4 linked regions of the Struthio camelus genome follow. The protein of the gene in region 1 binds, or shares a complex with, the protein of each later gene. Links are inferred from orthologs where the notes say so. Each region holds a gene or a part of one and is shown on either strand. Other genes may lie near its edges. The genes, in order: PRPF31, LSM5, SNRNP200 and SNRNP40.

The links.
Region 2: PRPF31 (region 1) and LSM5 share a complex: the UniProt entries of both Homo sapiens proteins name them as parts of the U4/U6-U5 tri-snRNP complex. The link is inferred for Struthio camelus from reciprocal best matches to the Homo sapiens genes PRPF31 and LSM5.
Region 3: PRPF31 (region 1) and SNRNP200 share a complex: the UniProt entries of both Homo sapiens proteins name them as parts of the U4/U6-U5 tri-snRNP complex. The link is inferred for Struthio camelus from reciprocal best matches to the Homo sapiens genes PRPF31 and SNRNP200.
Region 4: PRPF31 (region 1) and SNRNP40 share a complex: the UniProt entries of both Homo sapiens proteins name them as parts of the U4/U6-U5 tri-snRNP complex. The link is inferred for Struthio camelus from reciprocal best matches to the Homo sapiens genes PRPF31 and SNRNP40.

What each region holds. Positions count from the first base shown.
Region 1 is NW_027182594.1:29,842-37,094, forward strand, and holds the start of PRPF31 (U4/U6 small nuclear ribonucleoprotein Prp31), read right to left. Parts: upstream 3,005-7,253; 5' UTR 2,935-3,004; coding exon 2,761-2,934; intron 1,760-2,760; coding exon 1,699-1,759; intron 1,541-1,698; coding exon 1,457-1,540; intron 1,301-1,456; coding exon 1,203-1,300; intron 1,087-1,202; coding exon 980-1,086; intron 887-979; coding exon 717-886; intron 630-716; coding exon 472-629; intron 398-471; coding exon 308-397; intron 216-307; coding exon 88-215; intron 1-87. Other genes in the region: TFPT (TCF3 fusion partner), read left to right, coding at 4,649-4,894, 5,469-5,539, 7,219-7,253. UniProt on the Homo sapiens protein: Involved in pre-mRNA splicing as component of the spliceosome. Required for the assembly of the U4/U5/U6 tri-snRNP complex, one of the building blocks of the spliceosome.
Region 2 is NC_090943.1:55,214,245-55,222,164, forward strand, and holds the start of LSM5 (U6 snRNA-associated Sm-like protein LSm5), read right to left. Parts: upstream 3,010-7,920; 5' UTR 2,805-3,009; coding exon 2,609-2,804; intron 1,509-2,608; coding exon 1,413-1,508; intron 1,184-1,412; coding exon 1,156-1,183; intron 481-1,155; coding exon 408-480; intron 1-407. Other genes in the region: late secretory pathway protein AVL9 homolog, read left to right, coding at 6,027-6,122. UniProt on the Homo sapiens protein: Plays a role in pre-mRNA splicing as component of the U4/U6-U5 tri-snRNP complex that is involved in spliceosome assembly, and as component of the precatalytic spliceosome (spliceosome B complex).
Region 3 is NC_090968.1:1,325,938-1,333,366, forward strand, and holds the start of SNRNP200 (U5 small nuclear ribonucleoprotein 200 kDa helicase), read left to right. Parts: upstream 1-4,429; 5' UTR 4,430-4,533; coding exon 4,534-4,578; intron 4,579-5,434; coding exon 5,435-5,598; intron 5,599-6,053; coding exon 6,054-6,225; intron 6,226-6,649; coding exon 6,650-6,842; intron 6,843-7,101; coding exon 7,102-7,157; intron 7,158-7,429. Other genes in the region: protein FAM178B, read right to left, coding at 119-220, 376-466, 926-1,023, 1,200-1,376, 1,719-1,809, 1,895-2,015, 2,095-2,173, 2,265-2,370 and 4 more. UniProt on the Homo sapiens protein: Catalyzes the ATP-dependent unwinding of U4/U6 RNA duplices, an essential step in the assembly of a catalytically active spliceosome. Plays a role in pre-mRNA splicing as a core component of precatalytic, catalytic and postcatalytic spliceosomal complexes.
Region 4 is NC_090964.1:4,646,879-4,654,506, forward strand, and holds the start of SNRNP40 (U5 small nuclear ribonucleoprotein 40 kDa protein), read left to right. Parts: upstream 1-4,622; 5' UTR 4,623-4,631; coding exon 4,632-4,841; intron 4,842-5,001; coding exon 5,002-5,131; intron 5,132-5,757; coding exon 5,758-5,851; intron 5,852-6,627; coding exon 6,628-6,793; intron 6,794-7,377; coding exon 7,378-7,500; intron 7,501-7,628. Other genes in the region: ZCCHC17 (zinc finger CCHC domain-containing protein 17), read right to left, coding at 26-117, 1,544-1,644, 3,312-3,369, 3,764-3,808. UniProt on the Homo sapiens protein: Required for pre-mRNA splicing as component of the activated spliceosome. Component of the U5 small nuclear ribonucleoprotein (snRNP) complex and the U4/U6-U5 tri-snRNP complex, building blocks of the spliceosome.

The sequences.
Region 1 (7,253 bases):
TGGGGGATGGAGCGGAGCGGAGCGCGGCTCGCGGGCGGGACGTTCCCGAGGAGGCCGGATGCCCCAGGGAGACCCCCCCACGCTCACCTGCGGCCCCCCCGCTTCTTCCTCTGCCCGTCGAGCGGCGCCGGCAGCGGCTTCACCTGCTTCACGGGGGGCGGCTCCTGCCACTTGTCGAACTTGCGCTCGATCTCCTCCTTCAGGTCGTAGCCGACCTGCGGAAAGGAAACGAGACGGCGCAGAGAGCCCAGGTGTCCGGGCGTCCTCCCCGAATCCCCCCCTCGCGCCCCGAACCCCCCCCCCTCACCTTCCCGTCCTGGCTCTCGTGGAAGCTGTCCACCCGAGCTGCCAGGGTGCACTTGGCCGAGACCAGCCGCGCCGCCTTCCTCCGCAGATCCTGGGGGAAACGGGGCGTCAGTGCGGGGCTGGGGAGGGGGGCAGGAAAGGGGGGGGGCGCCGGGGACGCCATACCGGGGGCAGGGACTGCACGATGTCGCTGTGGTAGATGTAGCCGGTGTGGGGCAGCACCGAGGTGCTGGAGAAGCCCGAGAGCGTCTTGCGCTGCGCCCCCAGCAGCATGATGTTGCAGGCCGGCATCTTGGAGAGGTTGGTGAGGCCCCCGGCGATGCCTGGGGGGAGGCGGGGGGCATCAGGGAGCAGCCCCCGGCCCCAGGAGGGGCTCGCGCCGGGCGCTGGGGGCAGGCGCCAGGGCTCACCCATGATCTTGGCGGCGGTGGAGGCCCCGACGATGATGGAGAGGTTGGGGGCGATGAAGGACATGCGGGACTCCACGTACTCGTAGATGCGGTGCTTGGACTGGTTCAGCTCCAGCGCCATGTCGCAGGCTTCCTCGATGCGCTCCAGCTCCTCGTCCGTGAGCTGCTGCCTGCGGGCGGAGCGGCGACGAGGGAGCCCCGGCGTCCGGGCGCCCCGGCCCCCGACGGCGGTCGGCTCGCAGCCGCCAGCAGCACCGACTCACCCCTGGGTGGTGGAGGCCGTGACGCTCACCACCATGATGGTGGCGTTGGTCAGGATCTGCTGCACGTTCTCGTTGTTCTTGCACTTGTCCAGGCTGTTCCCCAGCTCCTGGGGGCAGACGGGGCGGGGGCAGAGGGCTGAGACGGGCCCCCGCCGGCGTCCCGGCTCCCCGCTGCCCCTCTCCGGAGCCGGCAGAGGCCCCAGGCGTCCCCCAGCCCCGCTACCTTGACGGTGCGGATGTAATCCAAGGCGTTGGGGACGAGAGACTCCAGCTCAGGGAAGCGCTTCGAGTATTTGTCCCGGATGAACTTGTGGATGATGTCTGGAGGGAGGCGGGGCGGGGGACGGAGCCCCCCCGCACGAGTCAGCGCCGCAGGGAGGAGGAGAGAGGAGCCTCCTGCCCCCGTTCAGCCCTCTGGGGACGCCGGGACGTCCCCAGCGTCGCCCCCCCGGCCGCCAGCCCCCTCCCAGCACTCACTGAGCTCGTTCTCGATCTCCACGGTGAGGTTGTTGGCGTCCACGATGACCCTGTACTCCGGAGCCGCCTCCACCGGCCCCAGCACTGCCGGGAGAGCGGCCGAGCTCAGGGCCGAGCCGGGGACAAGCACGGGGAGGGGGACGCCGGGGCAGAGCGCCCCCGCGTGGGGCAGCGTGGCCCCCCCAGGGCGGGGCAGAGGGCTCTGCCGTGGGGCTGGGAGCGGGGTGGGGAGGGGCCGGCACCTTCCGCGGCTTTCGGCTGCTTGCTGATGTACTCCTCGATCTTCTGCATGATCTCCGCGAACTGCGGGGCCGCAGGGCGCTGCGTCGCGGCGGAGCCGGCGGCCGCGAGCCCCGGCGCAGGGCAGAGCGCCCCGACCGCGGCGCCCCCCTCACGTCCTCCCGGGCCCCCTGCCCTCCCCTTCCTCCTCTTCTCCTCCTCCCAGCAGCTCCTTCTCCTCTTCAGGTCCCCTGAATCTTCCCAGGACCCCCCCCAACTTCTTCCTTGGCTCCCCACATCCCTTCCTCCATCCTCCCAGGACTGCTCCTTCTCTTCTTCCCGAGACCCCTCCCTTCTCTTCCTTCTCCCAGAATCCCCTTCTCTGTTCTTCCTGTTCCTCCTCCTCGCGGGACCCCCCCCTCCTCCTCCTCCTCCTCCTCGCGGGACCCCCCCCCCTCCTCCTCGCGGGACCCCCCCCTCCTCCTCCTCGCGGGACCCCCCCTCTCCTCCTCCTCCTCACAGGATCCCCCCCTCCTCCTCCTCCTCGCGGGACCCCCCCCCCCCTCCTCCTCCTCCTCCTCGCGGGACCCCCCCTCTCCTCCTCCTCCTCCTCCTCGCGGGACCCCCCCTCTCCTCCTCCTCCTCCTCCTCGCGGGACCCCCCCTCTCCTCCTCCTCCTCCTCCTCCTCGCGGGACCCCCCCTCTCCTCCTCCTCCTCCTCCTCCTCGCGGGACCCCCCCTCTCCTCCTCCCCCTCCTCCTCCTCCTCGCGGGACCCCCCCTCTCCTCCTCCCCCTCCTCCTCCTCCTCGCGGGACCCCCCCTCTCCTCCTCCTCCTCCTCCTCCTCCTCGCGGGACCCCCCCCTCCTCCTCCTCCTCCTCGCGGGACCCCCCCTCTCCTCCTCCTCCTCCTCCTCGCGGGACCCCCCCTCTCCTCCTCCTCCTCCTCCTCCTCGCGGGACCCCCCCTCTCCTCCTCCCCCTCCTCCTCCTCCTCGCGGGACCCCCCCCTCCTCCTCCTCCTCCTCCTCCTCCTCGTGGGACCCCCCCCTCCTCCTCCCCCCGCTCCCCCCGGGACCCCCCTCACCATGCGGCTGTCCCACAGCTTGGCGATGCTCTTGACCGAGTCCACGGCCAGGTCGAGCTGCGTCTCCTCCTGCACATCCTCGATGGCCGGCTCGTCCTCCTCGTCGGCGAAGTTCTCCTCCTCCTCCTCGGCCGCCTCCTCCAGGTCGGCCAGCAGCTCGTCCGCCAGCGACATGGCTCAGGCCGCCGCCGCCTCCCCGCGCCGCGTCGCCGCCTGACGACCTCACTTCCGGCCGGGCGCGCTCCCTCCGACGTCACTTCCCGCCCTCCCCAGCCGCCCTCGCTCCGTCATCATCGCCGCGCGCCCCCCCCTCCCGCCGGGACTGCGTCATCACCGCGCGCCGCCTCCCTCCGCACACACCTCCCCCCCCCCCAAACCGAGGCGGCGGCGGCGGGACCGCGGCGGCGACGGGTGACGTCATCGCCGGGTAGGGGGCGGGGCCGGGGGGGAGCCGGGGGGGAGGGGGGCACCGGGGGGGGAACCGGGGGTGAAGGGGGCACCGGGGGGGCAGAAGGGGACCGGGGGGGGAACCGGGGGTGAAGGGGGCACCGGGGGGGCAGAAGGGGACCGGGGGGGGAACCGGGGGTGAAGGGGGCACCGGGGGGGGCAGAAGGGGACCGGGGGGGCACCGGGGGTGAAGGGGGCACCGGGGGGGCAGAAGGGGACCGGGGGGAGCACCGGGGGGCAGAAGGGGACCGGGGGGGGAACCGGGGGTGAAGGGGGCACTGGGGGGGGCAGCAGCAGAGGGGCATCGGGGGGGAACTGGGGGGTCAGAGAGGCACTGGGGGATACCGGGGGGGGGACACCGGGGGGCAGGGGGGCACAGGGACCTCAGGGGGGGTCACTGGGGGTAAAGGGAGGTACTGGGGGGTCACTGGGGGTGAAGGAGGCACCGGAGGGGGAGGGGGAGGAAGGGGGAACCGAGGGGGGGGCAGGGGGCACTGGGGCCTCGGGGGGGTCACTGGGGTGAAGGGGGCACCGGAGGGGCACGGGGAGGAAGGGGGGAACCGAGGGGGGGGCAGGGGGGCACTGGGGCCTCGGGGGGGCACTGGGGTGAAGGGGGCACCGGAGGGGGACGGGGAGGAAGGGGGGAACCGAGGGGGGGCAGGGGGGCACTGGGGCCTCGGGGGGGTCACTGGGGGTGAAGGGAGGTACTGGGGGGGGCACTGGGGGTGAAGGGGGCACCGGAGGGGCACGGGGAGGAAGGGGGGAACTGGGGGGGGGGCAGGGGGGCACTGGGGCCTCGGGGGGGTCACTGGGGGTGAAGGGAGCACCGGAGGGGCACGGGGAGGAAGGGGGGAACTGGGGGGGGCAGGGGGGCACTGGGGCCTCGGGGGGGTCACTGGGGGTGAAGGGAGCACCGGAGGGGGGACGGGGAGGAAGGGGGGAACCGAGGGGGGGCAGGGGGGGCACTGGGGCCTCGAGGGGGGTCACTGGGGGTGAAGGGAGGTACTGGGGGGGGGCACTGGGGGGTGAAGGGAGCACCGGGGGGGGGACGGGGAGGAAGGGGGGAACCGAGGGGGGGGTCACTGGGGGTGAAGGGAGCACCGGAGGGGCACGGGGAGGAAGGGGGGAACCGAGGGGGGGGCAGGGGGGCACTGGGGCCTCGAGGGGGTCACTGGGGGTGAAGGGAGGTACTGGGGGGGGCACTGGGGGTGAAGGGAGCACCGGGGGGGGACAGGGAGGAAGGGGGGAACCGAGGGGGTCCGGGGCGGAGGAGAGAGGGATCGGGGGGGGGGGCGGGCAGTGAGGAGGAACAGAAAGACCCCTGGGGGCTGAGGGGTGCTGGTAGGGGGGGAGGTGTAACGGGGCCCAGAGGACCCCAGCGGGGGGGGGGGGGCAGCAGCGTCACAGCAGGCCCCCCCCCACCCCCCGACCCCGCAGCGCCATGGCGGGGGTGGGCTTCGAGGAGTTCTCGGCGCCGCCGGGCTCGGAGCTGGCGCTGCCGCCCCTCTTCGGGGGCAACATCCTGGAGAGCGAGCTGGAGACGGAGGTGGAGTTCGTGGACGGCGGCCTGAGCGGCGACGCGCGGCCCGAGCACGAGCGCGAGCGCGAGGAGAGCCGCCGGCGCCACCGCGAGCTGGCCCGCCGCAAGCTCCAGGCCCTGGGCCGCCGCTGCCGCGAGATCGAGCAGGTCAGGCCCCGCCCCGCAGGCCCCGCCCACGATAAGCCACGCCCCCAACATGGCCACCGCCACCCCTTAGCCCACCCACCCACACACTTTGCCTTTGGGGCTGTTCCTATTTGAGAAGCGCCTTTGCTTTCCCCTTGTTCTCATCACACAGGCCCCGCCCACTCCGGGCAGGCCCCGCCCCCGCGCCCAAGCCCCACCCACTCCGGAACAAACCCCGCCTTTTTTATCTGGCCCCGCCCACCACACGGGGGAGTGGCCTCTTGGCTTTCAAGTAGCCCCCAAGTAGCCCCGCCCTTTCCCAGGATGTGGCCCCGCCCCCTCTGTGGGCAGCCCCTCCCACTGCAAGCACAGCCCTGCCCCCTCAACTAGCCCCACCCACACGCCTAGCCCCTCCCACAGCCCCGCCCTGGTCACGCCCCCTGGGTTGGCCACGCCCACTTCAGGCAGCTCGTCCTGCTGCTCCCCAGCTCTGCCCCTCCCTGCATCGCCCCGCCCACACAGCTAGCTCCGCCCACTGTCCCCATCCTGGCCACGCCCCCGGCAGGGGCTGACCCGCCCCCTTCCCCCCCCCCAGGTGAACGAGAGGATCCTCAACCGGCTGCAGCAGGTGCAGAAGATCACGCGGCGCCTCCAGCAGGAGCGGAGGTACGGGGCCGGCGACACCGCCTACAGCGCCGGGCACCGCGCACCGACACCGCGCCGACACCGCGTACAGCGCCGGGCACCGCGCGCCAACACCGCGTACAGCGCCGGGCACCGCGCACCGACACCGCGCCGACACCGCGTACAGCGCCGGGCACCGCGCGCCAACACCGCGTACAGCGCCGGGCACCGCGCGCCGGGCACCGCGCGCCGACACCACGCTGACACCGTGTACAGCACCGGGCACCGCGCGCCAACACTGCGTACAGCGCCGGGCACCGCGTGCCGACACCGCGCCAACACCGCGTACAGCACCAGGCACCGCGCGCCGACACTGCGTCGACACTGCATACAGCGCTGGGCACCGCGCACCGACACTGCGTGCCGACACCGCGCCGAAACCACGTACAGCGCCGGGCACCGCGCGCCGACACCACGTACAGCGCTGGGCACCACGCGCCGACACCACGCCGACACCGCGTACAGCACCAAGCACCGCGCGCCGACACCATGTGCCAACACCATGCCAACACCGCGTACACCGCTGGGCACCGCGCCGGGCTCCGCGCCAACACCGCGTACAACACCGGGCACCACGTGCCAACACCGCACCAACACTGCACTGACACTGCATACAGCGCTGGGCACCGCGCACCGACACTGCGTGCCGACACCGCGCCGAAACCACGTACAGCGCCGGGCACCGCGCGCCGACACCACGTACAGCGCTGGGCACCACGCGCCGACACCACGCCAACACCGCGTACAGCACCAAGCACCGCGCGCCGACACCATGTGCCAACACCATGCCAACACCGCGTACACCGCTGGGCACCGCGCCGGGCTCCGCGCCAACACCGCGTACAACACCGGGCACCACGTGCCAACACCGCACCAACACTGCACTGACACTGCATACAGCGCTGGGCACCGCGCACCGACACTGCGTGCCGACACCGCGCCGAAACCACGTACAGCGCCGGGCACCGCGCGCCGACACCACGTACAGCGCTGGGCACCACGCGCCGACACCACGCCGACACCGCGTACAGCACCAAGCACCGCGCGCCGACACCATGTGCCAACACCATGCCAACACCGCGTACACCGCTGGGCACCGCGCCGGGCTCCGCGCCAACACCGCGTACAACACCGGGCACCACGTGCCAACACCGCACCAACACTGCACTGACACTGCGTACAGCGCCGGGCACCGCGCGCCAGCACCTCGTACAGCGCCGTGCACTGCACACTGACACCACGTACCGACACTGAGTACGGCACCGTGCACCAAGACCGCACTGACACCGTGTGGTGACACTGACACCGCATACGCTACCACGCACCAACACTGCACGCGCCACCACACACCGACACTGCATACGGTACCACGCACTGATGCCGCGCACGGTGCTGCACCAACACCGTGCGCGGCACCAACACCGTGCACCGACGCGGCGCGCTGACGCTGCGTGGTACCGATACCACCCAGCCCCCAACACCGCGCGCCGATGCTGCACGGGCTACCGTCACCGTGCACGGCCCTGACATCACGCGTGACGTCCCGCAGGCGGCACTGACAGCCGCGCGCAGTGTCCGCGCGGTGCCGTCAGCCTGCGCGCGGTGACAACAGCCGCCCGCACGACACCGTCATCGCACCCCGTTCCCTGTTCCCCCGGCAGGTTCCTCATGAAGGTGCTGGACTCCTACGGGGACG
Region 2 (7,920 bases), on another chromosome or scaffold:
ACTGCTGCAAACGCATCCATACATAAGATAATGGATGTGATTTAGATGCATCCTGCCCTACATAGTTGTACAGCCAAGCACTCGTAAGTTAAAAGCCGCTGTATTAACCAGCCTCCAAAGAAGGTTCCAAAGCCAGAAGTGATTCCCTAACACACCTGAAGACCAGAAAAGGATTCACCAAAATGAAATTATGACCATCCCATTTTCACAGATGTTAAGCTGTAACACATGACAAGTATGACAATAAGATCGCTTCTCTAGCCTCAGTCATATACACATATGCCCCTAAAGCTACTCGAAGTAGCCTATGTAGCGGACCACTCAGCTTGGAGTAGCAAATCAAGCAATAATTGAATTCAACAACTGCAGACATAAGTGCATGCAATCTCTTTGCAATGACGACTTACCATTGTTATGTTATTTCCGTTTAGCAAAATCTGGTCTAGTTTTGTGATTCTTCTGCCCTCAGGTGTAATTTCACTGAAACGGCATCAGGAAAAGAAAAAAAAAAAGACTTAAGTAAAATAAGAACATACCACTATGGAAGATGATTATAGTTTTGATGATTGTACTGACACAAAGCTCTACATTAGAATGAAATTTATCAGAAGTAACAAATAAATTAGCTATCTCACAACATAATCTTGATACATTGGCCATCTGGGTCAAGAAATCTACGTGAAGACCAAAGAGATCCATTGTACTTTTCTCCTTAGCACATAAAGATGTGGATTTACCCTCTAAATCCTACCAAAATCTTGACTACCACTAATATTCAAAAAAGGCTGCAAATAGCAAGATAGCAAAACAAAGTAATGACTACTTATCCTTAAGTGTGCCAGGTTTCCAAATCTTTGCCTATGTGTTACAAGGCCTTAAAAGCAAACAAACTACTGGAGAGTTCAACCCAGAACCCATGCAAAATTGAGGCTGTAAATTAGGAGCTTCATTAAAAATATTTACTGAGATAAACCATGAAACGGGTGCTCTATGACATGGCTGTCCTCAATAGGTCATCATCTAGTTTAAGTCTAAGGTCTAAATTATTCAATCAACAAGTATTCCAAAAATATCACATTACTGTGCTGATACCATGTTTTTGTAACTTGGAAAATCAAAGTTTAAAAAGCCACAAAAGATAGAAATAATACTTACAATTCTGTAACATCTTCTAACACCATGTCTGAAAGTCTAGTTTCAAGGAAAATAAGGTAGAGAGACCTTAAGGTGCAGAGACTCTAAATTATTTTCCTTTTACGTGGAAGTGTGATTTCATCTATAAAATAAAATCAGAGTAACATATGAAACAATATAATAAATTTCTACTCAGTGGAATTCCAAACTCTTAAAAGTAATAGACAAATTAAGCAGAAACATGAAGTTTAGGCTTAAACCTTTCCATTAAAGGATACTGACAAAGTCATCAAATCCTAGAAGCGTTCCAACAATTTCTTTATCGCTCTTCATCACAATATGAATGCGTGAACCTATACATTTGTCCACAAGTTCTGCAAATTAGGAAAAAAAATTAAAAGCATTAAAAACACACTTCTAAACAAAAAGCCCAACATTATGATGGCAAAAAAAGTAATTGTCAAGGGCACCAGCAAAACAGAGAAAAATAAATCTTTTCCTTGCACAGTTTACTACTAATGCTACACAAAAAAACTCTCTAAGCATGTTTATACAGTACTATTACCTTACTTTGGTGAAGCCATATTACTACTGCTGTTAACTGCATGTTTAATTAGTACCTGAGAGCTAAGCACCAAAGTTAGATCTATCTTCAGCAGACCTTTGTGCTGCATCCCTATCGAAGATATGAATAATTTCTTTGTATGCTGTCTACTCTTAAAAGACTCGTTATTTTTCCCTCCAGAGACAGAAATTTAAAACCTCTCCTAATCAATATTTGCCAGAAGTCGAACAGTTTACCCATCCAGACATTGCTCCTGAGCGGCCCGAGTAGCGATATAACGCACTGGGATCCCACAATTTAACAAAAAGATGTAAGGCAGAAATTTTATGGACAAGTTACGACTGTTCTCCTCACCTTTCTTCCCTGACCACCTCCTCTCACAGCAGTGGAAAGCTTTTGTTAGGCTTTACCTCAATTTGGGGGGGTTACTTTGTTTTTTTTTCTCCGCCAAGAACGCTTGACGTTTGAGCTAGAACCATGCAGCCCCCTAGGCTGAAGCCGTGACGGGCGCGACTTCCTCCCCCACCCCGGACCCCTCACACGCCGAGGGCCGGGACCTCGCTTCCCTCCCACGCCGGCACAGCCAGGCCCCCACACTCCCGCAGAGACATGACACGACACCCCCCCCCCGCCCCACCCCAACGGCCGCTCTCGCGCACCCGCCGCGCGCCGCCCGTGACGTCAGCGCCCGCCGCCGCGCGTGACGCGCGCCCCGCCCCTCGCCTCCCAACCGCTCCGGGCCCCATTCAAACCTCCCGCCACGCGCGGTGCCCCTCGCGCCGCTAGGGGAGCCTGGGCACCGCCCTCTCTTCCCTGCTCTTTCCTTGAGGAAAGCCCCCCCCGCACCCCGCGCCGCCGACCGCAACAACCGGGAGAGAGCGGAGACACCGCAGCGGCAGCGCTGGTTACCGAGCGGCAGGAGCTGAGACGGGTTGGTAGTCGCGTTAGCCGCCATATTGGACCCAGGCCTAACCAGTCGCTCCTGCGGAAGTGAACGGTCCGCTGACGGCGAGGCACACTCTTGGGTCGGAGCGGCAGCCCCGCCTAGCCGATGTCCGAGCGCTCGTTCTTCCCGGGAGCTCCAGGCCGGGCAGCGGGGGGACATGGCCGCCCTGGCCACGCAGGAGGAGCCCGGAGTGTTTTTCCTCTTAGGCGGAGCTGGTACATCTTCCTCTCTAATCAGCAGGCAGGGGCTCGGTCGCTGTCTGTAGTGGATGCCGTGCTCCGGCTCCCTCGGCTGCGGTGGGGCTCCGTGCTGTGATCCGGCTGAGGAATTAAAGGGATTTAAATTATTTTTCGAGGTGGAAAAGCCGCTGCGCCGTCTGCACCCGCTTAGTAACGTAAGCCGTAATGCTACAGCAGGGAGCGGGCCCCGCTGTGTTTCAGGGTGAGCCTGGCTCTCTGCCCAAAGCTTCGTTGTTTCTAAGGGCTTTAAAAATCCTCCTGATTTCTCGAATCGCTTGAAATTTACTGTCCCTAACGGTTGTGCCGGCTTTTTTTTTTTTTAGTGCCTCGAACTGGAGACTGTTGTCAAGCTCTAGCTTTTTTTCTTTTGAAAAATTAAATATTTTACAGAATCGTGGTTTTCTGAAGGTTACCCACATTGCAGCACCGATCCTCCTTTGGCTAAATATTATCACGCCAAAGTAATTTCAACTACGTATTTTTCCCCTGGTGGGAGATCTACGTAGTCACTGAGGGCAGTCAAAAGAAAAAGGTAAAACAAAAGCCAAGCGATGTTGCACAAGTAGCAAAACTGTAGCTGCGTTGAAACTAGGCAGGTTTTTTGGCAATTTGATATGTTTCGTTGAATGTGAGCTATACCCGGTGCTCTAAATCAAATGACCGCAATTCAGTAGGATCATTTTGCATACATACTGATCCAAAACATGCCTTTAATGAAATTCTTGTGCACGTGAATTCATGATAGTGAAGACAGATGAACTTTCACTTTCAGAGGTTTTTTCCTCTTGCCTTACTGCCTTTTTCCAAATTTTGATCAAAATAATCACTTTGTTCTGCATGGGTTTTTTTGTTTGTTTATTTAACTAATGGCTATTTTCTGTATTTTAATGTTCATATCTAAGACTTTTATCTTTGTAAAATATCCTCCAGTTTCCTAATACTGTGAGACATTCATGAATTCTCTAGCCCATCATTACTTTCTTTGTCTTTTACCTTTCTTTTTTTTTTTTTACAGGAGAAGGTTCCAAGTGGGAGATCATAATCCCAAGCAGAGTCATAGTCATTACTACATAAAATTCAGTTTGGTTTTGCTAGTATTTGGTGTAAGAGCCTCAGAAGCAATACACTCCAAACAGGAACTGAGATTGTAACCAGCAAGAAATCAGTTACAAACCTCAAATCCATGCCAGGATTTCGTTTATGCTTTCTTATTAGCAGAAATCTCAGAATAATTATTTTTAGTCACATGCTCTTCTCTACAAATTCACAATTTCTTCCTTTAGGAAAATGGGCTATACTTAAAAAATTCAGTGAAACTACCAGCTACTACAAGCACTGCTCACCTCTGAGGCTACTTCTAGATGCATAAAACATACTTCTCTTGTAAAAGTTATCCATCTCAAGAAGTGTCACTACACATAATCAGCACTGATAACTTTGATAATTGTTACTAAATTCCAAATGAGTGACAAATTCTGTTTGCTGTGCTGATGTTATAATAGCTTGCGGTAGCTCAAATATTACTGCTGAGAGAAAAGAACTCCCTCTATGGCCAACTGAGTTTGTTCGAGTTTATTACTGATATTTGTTAGATATGCATTGAGAAAGTAAATTCCATTAGGAAAGTTCCCACTGAGACTTTCATAGCTGCTCTATCTCCCTTTCTATTCCATAACTACACACACACAGTGTTAGCTGTGAAAAAGACATAAAATATGTCAGTCAGTTCAATTTTCTAAAACAGGCTGATGTCATTCAGTCTAACATTTAACATTTTTATTTATTGCCTTAGTGGGAAAGAAAATTTCAAACAATGAAAAAAAATCTAATAACCTATTCAGAGAAGTAATAATCCACAGTTATCCAGCAGTCTCATTGTGATGCCCTTATAATGCAAAATCCATAGCACTGAGAGTACTGCCACACTGCCCTTTCTTCAATTAACTGAACATGAAATAAAAATACTCTCAGGCATCTCTTTTTTGGTATATCCTGTTACTGGAGGGGATAATGGCTCATATTTCACACATTGTTCTTTTTTGGAATTATATTGAGCATCATAAAAGTAAGGTACAGAAAAGACCTGATAAGGAATTGTTCTCTTGCCAGTGAAGGATTGTTCCCTGCAGTTTATCCTTTGTTCCCCAAAGTATATATTTTATGTAATGGAGCTTCTGTTGAAGTTGAAGAACAATATGTAATTATAGACTTTGGTGTTAGAATTGGAGCTCCTGGGTATTGTGGTAGCGATGAGATTTTCTTTGAGCATTTTTCTTCTATTTTTTTTTCCCAAATGAATCTCTTCTTCTAATTTCCACAAAGAGTCCTAATTATTAAGGGTACAGTCACTAGCAAATGCTGTTGACTTAAACAGGACTGAATCCTGAGAAAGGTTAATGAGGGAGCATGGTCTGAGCACAGCAAGATAAAAGATTTTAACTCTCTTATACTGAATTTGTTTGTGCTCTGGGACAGGGCTTTGAACTCTCTTCCTCAGGATATCCTAATATATGTTTAGTAGTGTAACAGCTCTAATGGAAGTGCATTAACTTGATTTTTCCAACTTGAACCCATTAATAGATGTGCCCCCAGTTAAGCAACCCCACGGCTGACTTCTCTCAAGTTCTGCAAACAGCACGGAGCCCTAATTTGTTTGAACAGCAACACTTGGAAAATGGAAGATCCATGCCAAAAAAAAAAAACAACCAAACTTCAGAAATAAGTTTATCTTTCGGTTTTATTTTCAGTCTTCCGCAAGCCACCTCACTTAACGTGGATATTAAAATCGGGTCAGAGTTTTGTGCTGCCATCAGTTAAGTAGTCAATAATTAAGATTTACTGAGAGAGAGAGAGAGAGAAACTCGCCACCGTTTTCGGGTGTACCCAGCCCCGGGGCCGAGCGGGCAGCGGCGCTCCCGGCGCGGGGCAAGCGGCGGCGGCGGGCGGAGCTGGGCGAGCACCGGGCAGAAGAAGGCCGGGCGGGGCGAGACGGGAGGCTCCGCCCTCCGCCGGGCCGGCGCTGCGGAAGGAAGCGGGTGGCTGGGGCGGCTCCGCCGGGCTCCTGGGCGGCGGGAGGCGGAGCGAGCGCCCGGGCTCGGCGGCGGCGGCGGCGGCGGCGGGGCGGTGGGCAGCGGCCTTCGGCATGGAGAAGCCAGGCGCCTCCCCGCCGGCCGGCCCTCAGCGGGGGCCGGTGCTGCACATCGTGGTGGTGGGCTTCCACCACAAGAAGGGCTGCCAGGTGAGGGGCGCCGCCTTCTCCCGCGTCTCCCCACACCCTCCCCCTGCCCCCCCCGGCGTGGGGGGGGGTCGTTTCCTAGGCCGTAGGGTCGGCGAGGCTGGGAGCTCGTTGGGGCCCAACGGTACTAACGGCGTACGGGGCCCGGAGGTGCGGGGGGGCCCGCCGAAGCCGTGACTCAGTTCGCCTCGCGCGGCAGAGGGCGGTTAACGTGCGGTCAGGCGCGCGCGCGACACGCCCGAAGCGCTCCCGCCCGAGGGTGAGTGCGATGCGGGCGGGCGAGGCTGCGCCAGGCTCGGCACTGCGGGTCCCTGGCGACGGGTGTCGTGTCCAGCCCCCCTCCCCCCGCCGGCGTTTGACATAAGCCCTGGTGATCACTGCAGGCCTAGAGGCAGAGGGGGATCTCCAAGAAGGTCAAAACAAAAAATATTTTTGCGATTTTTTTTTTTTTTTTTGAGGTGAATCTGCTAGCGATGGAGGAGCAGCGACCCGGAGCGCTGCGGGCGCTTGCTGACAGGCCGGACAGCACATGCTGCTGGGCAGGGCAGGCAGCTGGGGCCGGCGCCCTGCTCCCTGGCGAGCTGTGCTCGCCTCCTGCCCTGCCTGCGCTTGGCGGGCCCCTTCCTGTGCTGGGGAGCTGGGCAGGCCTCAGGGGCGCCCCGTGGGAGCCTTGGTGTCAGGAGAGCATGGGGCCTCCGTGCCTTCACGGTGCTCTGCCTCTCCTGCACGGGGTGAATCCCTGAGGTAAGAATCGGGTGGCCCACAAGAAAGCAGAGAGCCAGCTCTCTGCCCCTGCGCCCGGACTCCTGGAGTGCTATTGACTCCCTGTCCAAAAGGATTAGTGTGTTTTAGCCTCTCTTTTCTTCCCCCCCCCTCTTTTTTTCTATAATTTTCCATTTTAAGAGCTTTGTTATAACGAGAGATTTTTTTTAAGCTTGTTTTATGTCAGTAGGACTTGTATTTGAGCCAATAAAATAATGGCTATTCAAACAATGTTTTGCTTAATGTTGCAGTATTAAAATAAAACTAGTATTTAAGCTTCTAGAGTTGTTCCACATTTTGTGATTGGGCAGTCTCTAGAAGAACTGAGGTTGAATAAATACTGACCTCTGCTAGGAAAGACAGTGAGTTCTGTGTTCAGAAATACACATAAGTTTTAAATGATCAAATGATGAATAACTGTTTGTATGAGTTTGCTGTGTTGTTGGTGCATTTGTTTTGTTTTTAAATATGGTTATGTTGTAAGAAAATTTTGAACACTTGGACTTGCCGTTCCTAAAGGGAAAAATAACCTCTGTAGTCTGCAGATTTTGTTACCCAACTAGTCACCAAACATAGTTGCTTTGTTATTATCAGAGTAGTTGGATATGCAGATGGAAATGACTTGCTGTGAGTTTGCATGAGTCGCAGTATTTCTGGTAAGCAAATGGTGTATGAAATGCCAGTCAGGGTAGCTGCAATGACCAAAAATGATTTTTTTTTTTTGGTTTTTAAATCTTGAGCTCCTAATTTACATCAGTGAATGCTTAACACAAACAGTGTTTGTTATATTTGTTCTTTTCCCCGCTATTCCTTTCCCCTTTTTTCTTTTCTCTCATTAGCTAATCTTTAAAGATTGTATTTTACTGTTTCAATGTGGGTAGCTGTGGGTAACACTCTTCTTCTTTCCCTGCTCCATATCTGGAAGGGTGGATCAAGCTGTCTGTGCTTTTTTTAAATGATCCAATATGTTTCAGAACTGAATGGGCTGGTAACCCATAGCACTGTCTTACCAGCGTCCTTCATCATTCCTAGAAGAAGC
Region 3 (7,429 bases), on another chromosome or scaffold:
GGCGCACCAGGCTCCCTTGCTCCCCACGCCAGGTCCAGCCCAAACCAGCACGGTGGAGGGTATCCTGGGGAACAGCAGCTCCGGCGCGGCACCCGTTTTCCGAGCAGCGAGCACCCACCTCCTGGTCGGGGTCCTCTGGCTCGTTCTGGCACCCGGCGAGCACCAGGCGCTGCAGGGTGGCGGGCCGGACCAGCGCCAGGAGGTGGCACAGCGCCTGCAGCTGGTGGGGAGAGTGGGCGTCAGGGGCGCAGGCTGACGCCCGCCCAGCCGGGCTGCCTTGTCTCCCCGCGCGCCCGCAGAGGCACCGCTCACAGGGTACCGGAGCCCGTAACGGATGCCATTCTGAAAACGAGGGAGCGCCCAGGCTGCGCCCACCTCTGCTTGCGCCCGGCCGGGCAGCACCGTGCCCAGCGGCTCCCCCAGCAGCCGGGCCATGATGCAGAGGCTCAGGTGTCGGCGAAGCTCCCTGCGGAGAAGGCAAGAGCGTGAGAAGGGTGTTGGGGCTGGCGTGGCACGGGGAGAGGTGCCAGCTCGCGCCCACGCACCCCGCCACGTGCCCGGCCCTGCACAACCCACGCCCGTGTGCCAGGCTGGATCGTCTGTGCAGCGCCTGGCATGGCACAGTCCCGGCGCACTCCAGGTGCCCGGGGCGAGGGGCGGCGGTGCCCCGAGCGGAGCCGGCAGCCGGGTCCTGCCCGCTTTGTGCGCGTGCAGCCGGTTGGAATAAAGGAATTAGAGCGAGACGCATCCGAGCCTGGCCCTGGCACGGCGCCCGCAGGGCCGTGCCAGGCTCCTGCATGGCAAAACGGAGCTCGACTCCCCGTCACCGCGGCGCGGGGGGCACGAGATGCTCGGTGCGATGCCAGCAACTGCTTCAGCATCCCGGGGGGTGGGATGCAGGTAGTGCCAATGCGCGGGCACGTACCTGCCCCTGCTCGTGATGTCCGGGAGCAGGCGCACGACGGCAACCAGGTTATGGTGGTGCTGCGAGACCTGGCACAGGGACAGGCACAGATTTGGCAGCTGGGGAGAGAAGGAGGTGCTGAGCGACGAGCAGGGCGGGCACGGGGCTGCACCCGGGCGGCAGAGCCCTCGAGGGGACGGGGCGCGGGGGCGCCAGGCTCAGCCCGACCGCTGAGCACGCCCAACTTGTTGCGTTGGTGATGTGCAGCAGGGTTTGCTCCCCTTGCCTCGGGTACCTGCTCCTGCCAGTCCCCAATGCCCTCCAGCAGGCAGTGCAGGAGGTGCTGCAGGTCGGGCAGGGGCTGGCACCGCAGCGCCCGGTCGAGGCTGAGGAAGCAGAGCAGGGTGAGGAGCGCCAGGCGGGCACGGTCGGGGTAGCGGCCTGGCTGGGCGACCACACACAGCGCCAGGAGCTGGCAGGGGAAGGCAGCGTGTGAGCCGGGCGCCAAGGATCCCGAACACACCCCTGAACCACCCCCGTGCCCGCATCGTTGCTGGGGCAGGGATGGACTGGCGGCAGCCGCAGCGGGCACCCCTCCAGCAGCTGGCATCAGCGCTGCTCCGGGCCTGACTCTCATTAGCAGCAGCCCCATTAGCTGGGCGGAGATAACGAGGGCGGTCAGCCAGGACGGAGGCGCCCGGGTGCTGCCACACGAGCCCCTCCGGGTGGATGCAGCCACCTCCCTGTGCCAGGCTGCCCGCGCCAGCGGGCGCTAGGTCCCACCGCGGGGCGGGCACGGGCGCCGCGCTGCCACCTTGCAGATGTCGCTGAGCTGCGTCGCCAGCGCCAGGGCGCTGGTCGCCTCGGGGTCTGCCTGCCCCGGGCATCGGGGAGGGTCCGGGGGCCTGCAGGGAGAGGAGCGGGGTCAGCGCGGGGGGCACCCGAGCGGACCCAGGCGTCCCGATTCTCCCGCGCCGATCCCGGGCTCACCTCCTGTCCGCGGGGCACAGCTCGAGGGGCAGCAGGCCCTGGCGGTGCAGGGCGCCAAGGTCGGCGCCCAGGCGGCAGAAAACCTGGCTGATCTCCGGCACCGTGGGGCACCAGGGCTCCCCTGCGGGCGAGGGGGGCCGGTGAGAGCGGGGTAGGGGGCGCCCCGGGTGAAGGCAGCCCCGTGCCCACCCCGCGCTCACCCACGGTGCTCAGCCGGTGCACGTTGATGTCCCACAGCACCTGGAAAGCGTTGGCCGTATCCGGGCACAGGGCCATCAGCTGCCAAAGCAAAGAGGGCGTCACCGGCTGTGGCGCCGCCCGGGCACGGCTGGGACAACGGGGATCCTCCCACCGCGGGGGCCCGGCTTACCTGGAAGAGCCAGCGCAGGACGGGCAGCGGGCACGCGGGCACGCAGCGGTACAGCAGGCTGAGGTGGCCCTCACGGACGAAGGCGGCTTGGCAGGCAGGCGAGGCGCTACGGAGGGTGACACGGGTGCGTGTGCCCGACCACGGACACAGGCGGACGCGCAGCCCGGCGCGGGCACCCGCGTGCAAACATAACAAATACCCGCCCCCAACCAAATACACGAACACCCGCCCTCGCCCGCAGGCAGGACCGCGCGCGTGCCGGCAGGGCTGCCGTCGCGCCCAGACGCCGGCTGACGTGTTCCCGCAGGGCGTCACCCAGCCCGGGGGACGGGCCACGGGCGCGCGGAGCCGCCGGGACCCCCGCCGCCGGGCTCTCACCGGAGGAAGAGCGCTTCCAGGTCGCTCTGAGGCTGCAGCCCGCCAGCGTCGAGGGTGGGCGCGGGCAGCGGGCGGGCGTGGAAGACGGGCTCGCCGGGGTGCACGGCCGGGATGAGCGCCGGTTTGACGGCGAAGCGGGCCAGGAAGAGCCTGCGGGCCGGAGGGCAGAGCGGCCGCCGTGGTGCTGGGCGGGCGGGCGGCGGGTGCCCCGCGGCGGCCACCCGCCTGCCCGCGCCACTGCTACCTGTGCTCCTCGGGCAGCGGGGCGTCCTCGTCCGGGGACTCCTGCGGGCTGCCGTCGTCCTCGCATACCCACTCCGGGCTGCTGCGCGGCGCGGCCGCCTGGTCCTGCTCCCTGCCACGGGGGCGCTTAGGGCGCGACGGGGGCCGTCGGGCGCCCCTTAGCGTGACGCCCTGGGCCCGCCTCACCTCTTCTCCTTGACCAGCGAATCCAGGCTGTTGGCGAGCGGATCCGGCTGCGGGCACAGGGCAAGAAAGCGTTAACTCCCCAGCGGCTCCCGCGACACCCCAGGGGAAGGAGCCGGATGCCCGGCGGGCGCCAAGCAGGGACCTACCCGGCCGCGCCGCGGTGGGCTCCGGGCCTCGTCGCCCGCCAGCAGCAGGTCCCGCAACGGGATCAGGACGTCCTCGCCGTCCTCGGGGGACGCCCGCCCGCTGGCCTCGTCCGGCGGGCGCCCGCAAGCCGCCCGGCCTCGTGGCCGCCCCGGCGACCGTCCGCCTCCGGCGCGGCGGCGCCCGCCCTCGCCCCCGGGGCTGAGCCGGGAGCGACGCGACGCCGGGGCCGGCCCGGGCGACGCTCGTTTCGGCGAGGAGCTCCGGCCGGCCCCGGGGCCGGCGGCGCGTTGCCTGCTCGACGCGCCGCGCGTCTCTTTGGGCCGGCGGGGCGGCGGGGCGGCGGGGCGGCGCTCGGCCGCCGGCGGAGGGCGGCGGGGGTGCGGAGGGGGCCGGGCGCGCGGTCCTCGCCGGCCCCCCCCCGCCGCCGCCGGTGGTGGTGGCGGTGACCGCTCGCCTCGCGCCCTGCCGGCCTCACGCGGCCGGCGCAGGCCCGGGGGGCCGGGGGCGGCCTCCAGCAGGCCGGGGGGCGGCAGGGCGAAGGGGGGCCCCACGCGCAGCTGCTTGAGGGCCCGCAGCTGCTGGTAGCGCTGGAGGCTGGCCTGGAAGCGGGGGCTGAAGAGGCCGGTGCGGGGGGCCCGGGCCGACGACAGCGGGATCTGGTACCAGCGCAGCCCCGGCGGCGCCATGGCCGGGCCCTCGAGGGGGCGGCGGGGGGGGGGGGGTGCCCGCTGGGCTCTGGGGGTGGGGCTTAGCTGGGCGGGGTGCGAGGAAAGGGCGGGGCCTGGGCGAAAGGGGCGGGGCCGAGCGGGAGGAGGGCCAATGGGAGGCTGGTGGGTGGGGGGAGGGGGGGGTATGTGCGGCGCTGGCCCCTCCTACCCGCGGCGCTGCTTTCAAATGGCAACTGGCAACGGCCCCGCCCCTTCCTCCCCGCCTCCTTTCCCGTCTGAGCCAATCGGAGCTGGGGCAGGGCGGCGCGCCCCGCCCCCTCGCGTCTGGCCGAGCCAGCTCTTTGGTGGGGAGGAGCAAGGGAACGGTCTATCAACGGCAAAGCCCCGCCCCCCTGCCAATCAGCATGAGAGGCGGGGCTAGCCCCTCCGTGAGTGTCTCCTCCCCTCAGCAGACTCCCGCCTCGCATGCTGGGAGATGTAGTCCCCGAGGCAGCAGGGCATGCTGGGAGTTGTAGTCCCGAGGGGGCAACGCCGCCCCGCGGCACCAGCACTTCCGGGTCGCCTAGGGGCACCGGAGACTGCTTCCGCTTGCCCCGGAAGTTCCGCTGCCTGCTCCGGTGCGCGGCGGCGGCCAGCCCGGCGGCGCCATGGCGGATGTGACAGCGCGGAGCCTCCAGTACGAGTACAAAGCGGTGAGTGCGGCCCGGCGGGGCCTTGAACCTCCCCCGAGGCGCCGGGAGGGCTCCGGGTTCCCCCCGCGGCCCGGCCCGGTCGGGTCCCGGGCTCCCGCGGCCTCGGTGCTGCCGCAGCTCGGCGGGACGTCGCCGTGAAGGGGAGCCGGGCAGCCGCGGGGGTCTGCGGGCGGGCAGCGCCGCTGGCTGGAGCAGGACGCGGCCCCCAGGACGCCCTGCAGCCGTTTAGGCGCGCCTGGGCGCGGCCGCAGCAGCGCCCCTTCCCCCTGGGCCCCCTAAAAACCAGCCAGTTTGAGAACATTTCTTTGTAGCACCGCTGTTACAAGAGCGGTCAGGAGCTCGGCGTCCTTGGAAAACAGAAATGAGTGCGACGCCCGCTTTGAAGCTAATTTTAAAAGTGCTCCTGTCAGACTCTGAGGCTTTCTGCAGAATAAAAGCTCCGGTTCTGGTGTAGTTGTCAGATGCTGTAGCGTAACGAGCGAACCCTACGGGGACTTTCCCGACTGCCAGAAGTTACAGGGTGCCGTCACGTGACTCAGTCCAAGTTTAAAGTCTAAAACTGTGGCCTCTTCAAGCATGAATAATTTAATTCGGCATTATTTTTCCTGCATTGGGCAGGGGAAAGTTGGACATGCTGCATTAAAGGGGGTTTTATGTACTTAATAGAGCCTCTGGAGCAGGCAGAAGAGGCTTCTAGATTTGAGCGGGGGAGGTTGCTGCACTGAACCTGCTTTGGCCTAGGTCGCGGCTGGCGCTGGCTTCTTGGTCTCACCTGTCCGGATGCAGTGGACTGCGTGGATTGCGTTAATATTTTCACAGGCCCGATTAGTGCCTGTTTTTATTCTTTCTCTTCCAGAACTCCAACCTCGTCCTTCAAGCAGATCGCTCCCTCATCGACAGGACTCGGCGAGATGAGCCGACCGGAGAAGTGCTTTCCTTGGTTGGAAAGCTTGAGGGCACCCGAATGGGAGACAAGGCCCAGAGAACCAAACCGCAGATGCAGGAGGAAAGACGAGCAAAGTGAGTGATTGACTCCTGCCCTGAGCTTGCCGTTCGAAGCCGAAGGGACGCAGAGCCCTGAAAGAGAACCTCCTGGTTGTATTTGGATTAACAAAGCTCTAGGCAATTAATGTGCTAGACCCCGTCTTTTAAGTAATACAATCTCAACTTGTTTTAGTTCTGTGAATGTGGTATAATTCAATACAATTACGACCCCCATTCAGGTCGCTTTCCAGCTACTAAAAAGAGCATCTGTACTTCAAATCAATTGTTTTGTGTTTAAGTGAATGTGGTAGAATAAACCGAACTGTGAAACTTTTTCAGGTTCGAGAGTTCATGCTGCATAAAGCTCTCTTAATGGTATCTTATGTCAAAGAGAAACGACTCCTTGATTCCCGCTGCTTTGGCGTAGAGTGGGAGAAGCGGCTCTGCTTCCTGACTAACCCAGGTGCTGTCTTCCTTGCCCTTCTTTCTAGGCGAAGGAAGCGTGATGAAGACAGGCATGATATCAACAAGATGAAGGGTTATACCCTGCTGTCTGAGGGCATTGATGAGATGGTGGGGATCATCTACAAACCCAAAACCAAGGAGACCCGCGAGACCTATGAGGTGTTGCTAAGCTTCATTCAGGCAGCCCTTGGGGACCAGGTAAGGACGTGGACAGGTCAGCGAGGGTATCTCTGCTCCAGCAGAGGATTCAAAGCGTGCATGTAAAAGTGCGAGAGAGAAATCCGAGTCCTTCTTCGTTATCCCATGAGATGGATTCGCTCCCTTGATTCTGTGTTTTGTGCTTGTAGATATCACGTTAGTATATTCGTTACACTGATGCGGGGTGGCATATCTCTGTCGTGGGATGTGACCTTTCGATGGCACAATCTCTGCTCCCCCCGTGCCTACGTGAGGGTGCAGAGCTCGAAACGAGATGTTTTCTAAATCTGGTGAGCTATTTGTTCCAGGACTTGAGAACAGAAAGCTGAAAGGATTTGGTCCAGAAATAGGAGGGAGTGATACCGTACCGTTTGAATGACAGTCCTCTTCTTGGCAACACGTGGTCACGTTCTTTATTTTGCAGCCACGTGACATTCTCTGTGGAGCTGCTGATGAGGTCCTGGCAGTCCTGAAGAATGAGAAGCTGCGTGATAAGGAGAGGCGGAAGGAGATTGATTTGCTACTGGGCCAGACTGATGATACCCGCTACCACGTGCTGGTGAACCTGGGCAAGAAGATCACGGATTATGGTGGCGACAAGGAAATCCAGAACATGGGTATGGGCTGTGCTGTAGCGGGCTGCAGCTGTAGTAACGGGGCTGGCAGAAAGTAGTATTACGGTAATTGGTACCAAACCCAGCCTTACTCCAGGAATAGTGTTTTCACACAGAGGAGCTAGAAAATTTTGGACTCTTTTCAAGCCCGAAACCTGGTTCTTTTCAAAATTTGGATGTACGGAGGTGGGATGTGTGGATCTGCAGAGCTTGCATATGGTCTCCAGATTTTCAGATTAATTAACTTGGCTCTCCCTTGCAGATGACAATATTGATGAGACGTATGGTGTGAATGTACAGTTCGAGTCTGATGAGGAGGTAAGAGATGAGACGCTGCGGGGTCTCTGTGCTGTCCCCCCTTGCTTGTTGAGCTGCTCAGCAGGGACCACGTGTGCTTGGCTTTCCTCAGCCATGCTGGGGAAGCAGGCATTGGCTCAGGCTAGGATACCTCTGCCAGGAAGGAGAGGCCAGATTACTTTAGACACTGCTTCCTGGCTTTGGGAGGATTTGTTGATTATCTTGCTAATCTGAGGCTGATTGTGAGTGCATGTTACTGAAAACAGATGGTGATATTTAGATCTCTTGGAAGA
Region 4 (7,628 bases), on another chromosome or scaffold:
TGCCCAGCTCAGTAGATTTACCTACTCAAGGGAAACATTGTTTGGATCCAGGTCTTTTCCTGTTCCTTGGTTAACGACCTTCATGGAGAGGGAAAGTTTCAGTTTGTCATCTTTCATCTGAAAGAGAAAGGCATAGAGCAAGAAGAGGAAGCAACAGCGATGTTAACTAATACAAATCTAACAGGCTGCCGATAGAGAAGGAATGAAATTGTCAGCACAGAAAGGAACTACTAAAGCAAGGCTACTACGTGAAAATGATTTTGTTCTATTAAAATGTAAATACAGCCAAAATGCAGTTATTCTAGTTAACATGAGTATGTTAAGCAGCTACCTCAGAAATAAAACAAGATCAAACTACAGATCCATTCAGATTAACATTCTGCATTTAACATGAGCGAACCAAAGCGCTGTAGAAGAAAGGGTATGTTTAGGAACTTTGCTATAATTCTCAATAATTAATCAGTAATCCACCCACAAGGGAGTTTCTGCTGGACCTTCAGCAGATTTGCACCCTGAAAAATAAGACTCTATACCTGCTCTCACATTTCTATCTTCTTATGAGGTTAAAAACTTTCTAAGTATCTGTATTAGGGGCTTATTCTTTTCTGAATCCTAATAAGCCCTTGATTGCCACATTATCCCTTTAGAAGCAAGAGCAAAGGTCGTAACTTTTAAAAGTCTTTTTACAACCTTCTATAAGTACACACCAAAAGGTTCTAAATCTGTTTATCTTCCACAAATGGAAGGCATTGCTTTGTATGTCAACCCTATTGTTATCGTTCAAAAAATCTGAAAGATGTAAACCAATTATGACAAAAACCTCTCATCTCTAGAAGGCAGCAAGTTTCAAAATACATGTATTTGCCAAAAGAATTATAAAAAACCACACACACAAAAAAACACCTTCCCACCTTTCTTTCCTAAAAAATATAGTCCACTTTCACTGTTTCAATGGCTCACCAAAGTAAGAGTCTTTGTTCCAAGGAATCTTTAAATATAGAAGATAGGCCTAGCATCACTTCTTTTGTGCACCAAAAAAGCAATATAATAAAGGGTAGAAAATAAGACACACCCCTCCAAAAAAAAAAAAAAAAATCTGTGTTTTCCCTTGGGCAAAATTCACTGTCAACTATCTTTCCTTGAAAACAAAAAACACTCAGCTTCTTCTAATAACAGACCTGTCTCTCACAACTGTTAAAAGACTGTGCTTATATTGGCTCTCATCTTGGAATCCTCTCAAATTGCTCATTTGGCCACCAATCACACAGTTATGGGGGTGCAAGCTGCAAACAGGTAGAGAGGAAAAGAAAGGAAAGCGCTTTGCTGCTTTTAAGTTTTGATTGCATTGCAGCAAGTCACAGAAGGTCAGCTTCCAATGTCTCACCTGACAGTGAGCAGAAATCAACTGTTTATCAGATATATCATGTTTTGTTTAACAAAGCGACCAGAACACCCTGCTTCTGCATATCAAAAAGTTCTTAGTTTACTCTTTTTGTAATATAATTTATTTATACAGTGTTAAAGAAACAAGAATTAACATTACCTCTTTTCCAATAAGTTTCACCCACACTTTGTCTCCAACATCTACTATCTCTGAGGGCTTATCCACACGGCAGGATGACATGTGAGTCTTATGAACAAGGCCTGGTCATATTTTTGTAAAAAAAAAAAAAGGGAGGAAAAAAAAAAAAAGTCTCTACTGACTGTTAGTTTTGTCCTCTAGGAGTCAGAGGGCACCTATTAAGAGGTTTCCCTACGCAAAACTAAGCATCTAGTTTCCCAAACACATTACGCAGATGAGAATCAGTTAGTTTAATCAATCAAGTTTGTTTGCAAACATATAAAAGCTCATCAATATTTGCTCCAAATTTACTCCATGCTGTTAGGAAGCATGAGTGACACACAGCAAGACAATAGGCGTCAAAAGAGATAGAGGAAGCGATGAGAAAAGCACTGCTCTCCCCAAAGGTGTAGAGCTGCATATGCCCCCTTCTGACCACCATCACCACAGAAACAATCCTCAAGTTTTTGTATGAAACAAATGCAATCAAAACTAAGGGATCTGATCAACCAACAGGGAGACAGTATTCTCATAGCCTCCAGGCTGGATTCATCAGTCCAAGTTTTCATGTGTGTCCAGACACCTCCGGGGCTGGATGATTTAGCACTATGTGCAATGAGCTGGCGCCTCATTGATAACTGAGACATTACCGATAACTGAGACACTAACTCCAGAAAAAGAAAACGGACCTTCCGTATTTAAGATCTTAATTTACAGCTTGTCAGAGAAGCAGGCCCCAAAGCAGCGTCTTTGTACTCAAAATACCAGGCGTCCACATGGAAAAAAAGAAAAAAAAAACTTTTTATTTTAAGCAGGCATTAACGCCTCTCTATTCCTGTCCGTCCTCTGAAACCAACGTAAGCACTAGAGAACAAAGAACATTTCATGCATCAGCAGCACAATACTTTGCTGGCAATGTCAAAACCATTAAATACCCAGGCTGACCTGATTTTCTGTTGTGCTTGCAAGGTCATACAGCCAGATTTTTTTTTTTTTTTAAAACTTACACAAATAATAAATGTGGGCTACAGGATTATACATGGAAGGATAAGTATGGAAACACACCTTCATGTCTAGGCTTATATTTCAGGACATGTTTGCATCTCAAAGAGACATCCTTCCACTAGTCACACTTCCATGCAAAAATTTTTATTAGAGCTGGCGCTAAAGTAAGTGTGCAATTCAAGATGAGAGTGAAGAAGTGGTTATTCGTATGCATACAAACAATTGACAGAACATCCAGCTTAAATTGCTTCTTTTGTGTGACTAGTTTATTTTACTCTGCAGTTTTCCCACAACTGTAAACAAAACTAAGTCAGCTTTTCCGGTCTATTTTTTATTTGAAGTCCACTTCAGTCATCTTTATTTGACTTGCAAACTGGTCATGAAAGAAATAAGTTGTCAAGCTAAATTTCTTGTGGAATTTTCTATAGTTTGTCCACCACCTGAAAACGATTCTCTAAGATGCGGTGAAGTTACCAAAAAAAAAAAAACCCACTTCCTCTGAAATCCTCTGAGCCTTTTCTGTATAACTGCATATGTAGCACTACCTTAAGTAATTTGTGAGAACCTGTTTTTTCTTTTTTTTAAGTTCAACACTTTTTCTGAGCTAGCAGATAAATCAGATAGAGAAAAAGAAGGAGAAATTCTAGTATTCTCCTAAAAATTGCCAAATCTTTTATTCTGGGGATGATTGCAGAGCCTAACAAGTCAACATGAAAATAAGCCTAAACAAATAAGAGAAACAAACCTTGTTTCCTGCAGCCTGGGATTTTTATAAATGCCCCATATTCTGTTACAGTAGCAACCTGTGAAGAAAATCAATACAATATCTAAACAAAAGAGACTTGGTAAAAATCCTGTTTTGAAACCACCAGTTAAAACATGCACAAAAAAGGCTAAATGGTTCTCATATCTTAGTTCAGTTTTAGACTTCAAGGCTGGGGAGAGACAACACTCCTCGATAACTCTAGAACAAGCGTGGCCAGCCAACTACTCCTCTGTTAATAATACATATGCATATATGTGTGTGTGTGTGTGTGTGTGTGTGTGAACACACACATATACGTATACTTACATAAACGAGCAACGTAGCTGACAGTTACCCAAACCACCGCTGAACTAACCAGTCATTTAAACTAAAGCAAACAACCCGCACTTCACGACACCTCGCAGTATCGTGGCCGCAGCCCCACTGCACACCTCTCCTTGGAAGATAGCGTAGAGCTCAGGCAGCGCCTCCATCATCTCAGACCTCACAGGACGTGCTCGGGAGCGTCTCTGGGAGCAACCGACAACGTTCCTCCAAAACCTTCTGGGCGACTCCAGTTGAACTCATTGCACGTCACTGCGCTGCGGAGGAACCACGCTCGTAACCGGAGTTCAGAGAGATGCCTTGGAAAAATATATTTAATCAGCACTTGAGAACACCTCCTGCAACCAGCTCAGTGACATTCGACTAATATGACAAATTCTTTGGTTCATTTTGATTTAGGCTATGATGCGACACTAGCTCCTCGAGCTGGGTGACACCAGCTGCGGCCGCCTTCGGGCCGCTCTCCCAGGCGGCACCGGGCCCAGCCGGGCCTGATCCGGACGGAGGGTGGGGAAGCCCAACCTCGCCGCAATGCTCCGAGACTTCCCCTGCCAGCGCGACACCAGCCCCGCCGAGGCTGAGACCGAGCGAGCGCCCGACCCGTCGCCGCCACCGTTACTTACCCCCACCAGGCGCCACCGCCATTTTGCCCCCTCCCGCTTCCCCCCTCGCTCTGAGGCAAAGCGGCGCTCCACCAACCGTCGCGCGCGGTGATCGCAGGTGACAGCCGGTGAGCCAATCGTCTTTACCTATATTGCCTCTCTCCCTCCATCCCGCCTCCTCCGGCGCCAGCGGCCAATCCGCGCGCAGAGCGCCCGGCCAGGCCGCCTCTGCTCTCCTTTCGCCACCCGCGCGCCGGAAGTGAGGTACGAAGCGAGCCGAGCCGGGAGCTCTCCGCCAATCAGCGCGGGAAGACTTGGCGGGGCCGCCCAATGGGGGCGAGGGGGCGGGACGGGCGGGCGCGCGGCGGCGGCGATGATCGAGCAGCACAAGCGGAAGGTCCCGGGCGGCGGCCCCGGCCCGGGCCCCGGCCCCGGCCCGGCTCCGGGCGCCGCCCCCGGCCCCGACCTCCCGCTCGTGCCCACGGCGGCCAAGCGGCCCCGCCACGACCTCCCGGGAGCGCCGGGCGGCGGCGGCGGCGGCGGGGGGCAGCAGCAGCCGCCGCCGGGGGCCCTGCTGCAGGCGGTACGGGCGGGCTGAGGGGAAATGGTGGAGGGGCCGGGGCCCGGAGGGGAAATGGCGGAGGGGGAAGGCGCTGGCCGTGCCCCGGGGGGGTGCCCCGTCCCGCCGCCACGGGGCCGCGGTGCTTCGCCCCTCAGCCGACTCACTCGTTGCCTCCCCGCAGGGCCCGCCGCGATCCTCCTCCCTGCAGGCCCCCATCATGCTGCTGTCGGGGCACGAAGGCGAGGTGTACTGTTGCAAGTTCCACCCCAACGGCAACACGCTCGCCTCTGCCGGCTTCGACAGGCTCATCCGTGAGTACCAGCGGTGCTGGCGGCGCCGGGCTCCGCTGCCCCAGCGAGCGCGGAGCCGGGCCGGGGCTCGCCTGGCTTCGGGCAGCCGCCCCGTGCCTCTTCCCTTAGACTACCGTTAGTTTCATTTCAAAAATCTGCTTGCTGAGTCCATGTAAAGCGCGTCGGCGCTTTGCCAGGCGGTGAACAGGAAACGTCAGGCTCCTCGGACAGGTTGCTGTCCAAGTAGTGTGGCTTTTTCCTTGGCTAGGGTCAGTAATGTGCCTTGCTTGTCCTAATTCTGTATTCGCTCATCCCTTGCGTAGGTTACTATGCATTTGTGTCTGCACCAATCTTTGGAAATACATTTTTTAAGGCTTTTGGCTTGCTAGAATGGGTTGGAGTGGCTACCTGTTTTTCATAATAAATTCACCTGTATCTGAAATCGTAAATCACCTTAAAAGAGCTGTGTGCTTTCTGGGGCTCACCTAGCCCACTTGGTACTCTTTTATTGCTATATGTCCTAGATGTGAAGAGATGTTGGCTACTGTAGGTGGTTCGTTTTAATGAATTTCGGGAGAATCAAGCTATCCACAGCGAGTGCGTGTTTACATCGTTCATTTACTAATCTCTCTCTTTCTGTCCTTTAGTGCTGTGGAACGTCTATGGGGACTGTGATAATTATGCCACCCTGAAGGGACACAGTGGAGCGGTTATGGAGTTGCACTATAACACAGATGGCAGGTAAATGTCGTGAGGTCGGTTTTCTGCCTCACTTCTTGCTCTTTCTGAACAAAGTCTACAGACAGTTTTGGGAGAGTGGCAGCATCTGTCATGCACCTCAGCCACACTCATTTAGGTGGCTCGTGAGGGGCGCTTGGCAGTTTTCAGGGCAACGTATTTGCTGCTGGCCAGCCAGACTCCTTTAGAGCTCCTCCTGTTCATTGCAGCTGCTTAGTTGACCTTCATTAATGGTACTGAAGAGGAGCACTTGTACTGTGGCTTTCCCAGGAAGGGAGTGTGCCTGCTTGAGATTAAGCAAAAGATATGGAGCTACTTGTGACCTAGGAGTGCCCTTGATTTCAATCTTGAGGAACACGTGAAAGTCTGAGCTGGTCTTGAGCGAGATGCTGGTTGGTTGGGGAGTGAAAGAAAACAAGTGAGATATTTCTTAATTTGGAAGATTGTTCCGCTGTTACATCTTAACCAGGAGTGCTACAAAGAATTCTTTCTCCTGTGTTCTCATCCTAGATAGTGTTTGAGCAGGTGGAAAACCAATACGTACTGATCAAAAAATGGGTTTAGATGGGAGCATCTCCACTGTACTTGTTCCACGGTCATTCAGTCTGCGCTGACCAGAATTGTCTTTGCACCAGCCTTTGCATATTGGGCGTAGTTCTTCTCAATGACATGTTTGTGTTTAACGTTTCGAGCTTTGCTCTCGGTACTTGGGAGTAACAAAAGTAGAATGGGAGAAATGCCTCTGAAATGGAGAACTTCACAGCTGTTCTTCTCCGCAGCATGCTCTTCTCAGCATCCACAGACAAAACAGTGGCGGTGTGGGATAGTGAGACGGGAGAGAGAGTAAAGAGACTGAAGGGCCATACGTCATTCGTTAACTCCTGTTACCCAGCAAGGCGTGGACCCCAACTTGTCTGTACGGGTAGTGATGATGGGACAGTGAAGGTCAGTGCGTTGTATAAGGAGATAGTCCTTTTTTGTTTTTACTGGTTCAGTGAGTTAAATTCAGCCTTTCTTTACTGTCTCATAATTTCATTATCTAACAACTTCAATAAAACTTGATACTTCTTTTCCTTCCACGATTCTTTGAGTATGGGTTCAGGAGATGCAGTTGGGATACCATATTGGAGCAGCCTAAACAAACCATTGTCTCATTAAAGGAGGACTGTCTTCTTTCTGTGTAACAGTGTGCTTGTTTGTGATGCATTGTAATCGATATAGATTTAATGCAAAATAAATCAAGTTTTACTGCAGTGTAGAACAGCATAAACAAAACATGAGGAAGGCAAACAGGTACTGAAATCTTTTACTCCAGCTCCTTCTTGCCCCGTCCCCTATTTTCAGAAATCGAAAAGTCCTGTGTTCCTGACCATAGCATGTCTCTGCTATTATTTTTGTAGCTAACTCTTGAGATCTAAAAAAGTGAGTTTCAGTAGAGCAGTCAGAGACCCGGCAACGTGTCTGCAACTTTCTATGATTTTATTGTTAAATGCCTCTCTGTAACTTTTAAAATTGCCATATCTTTTCAGCTGTGGGATATCAGGAAAAAAGCTGCTGTCCAAACATTTCAGAACACTTACCAAGTCTTGGCTGTGACTTTCAATGACACCAGTGATCAAATCATATCGGGGGGCATTGACAATGATATTAAGGTATGATGATTTCTATCTTGTGCATCTGTTCTGACTTTACACACCTTTTCCGTCCCATCAGATTTTGATTGTAGCGAAATGCAAGATATAGCAATGGTCGAGGGAAAACGTGGAAGCCTGTTGGTTAA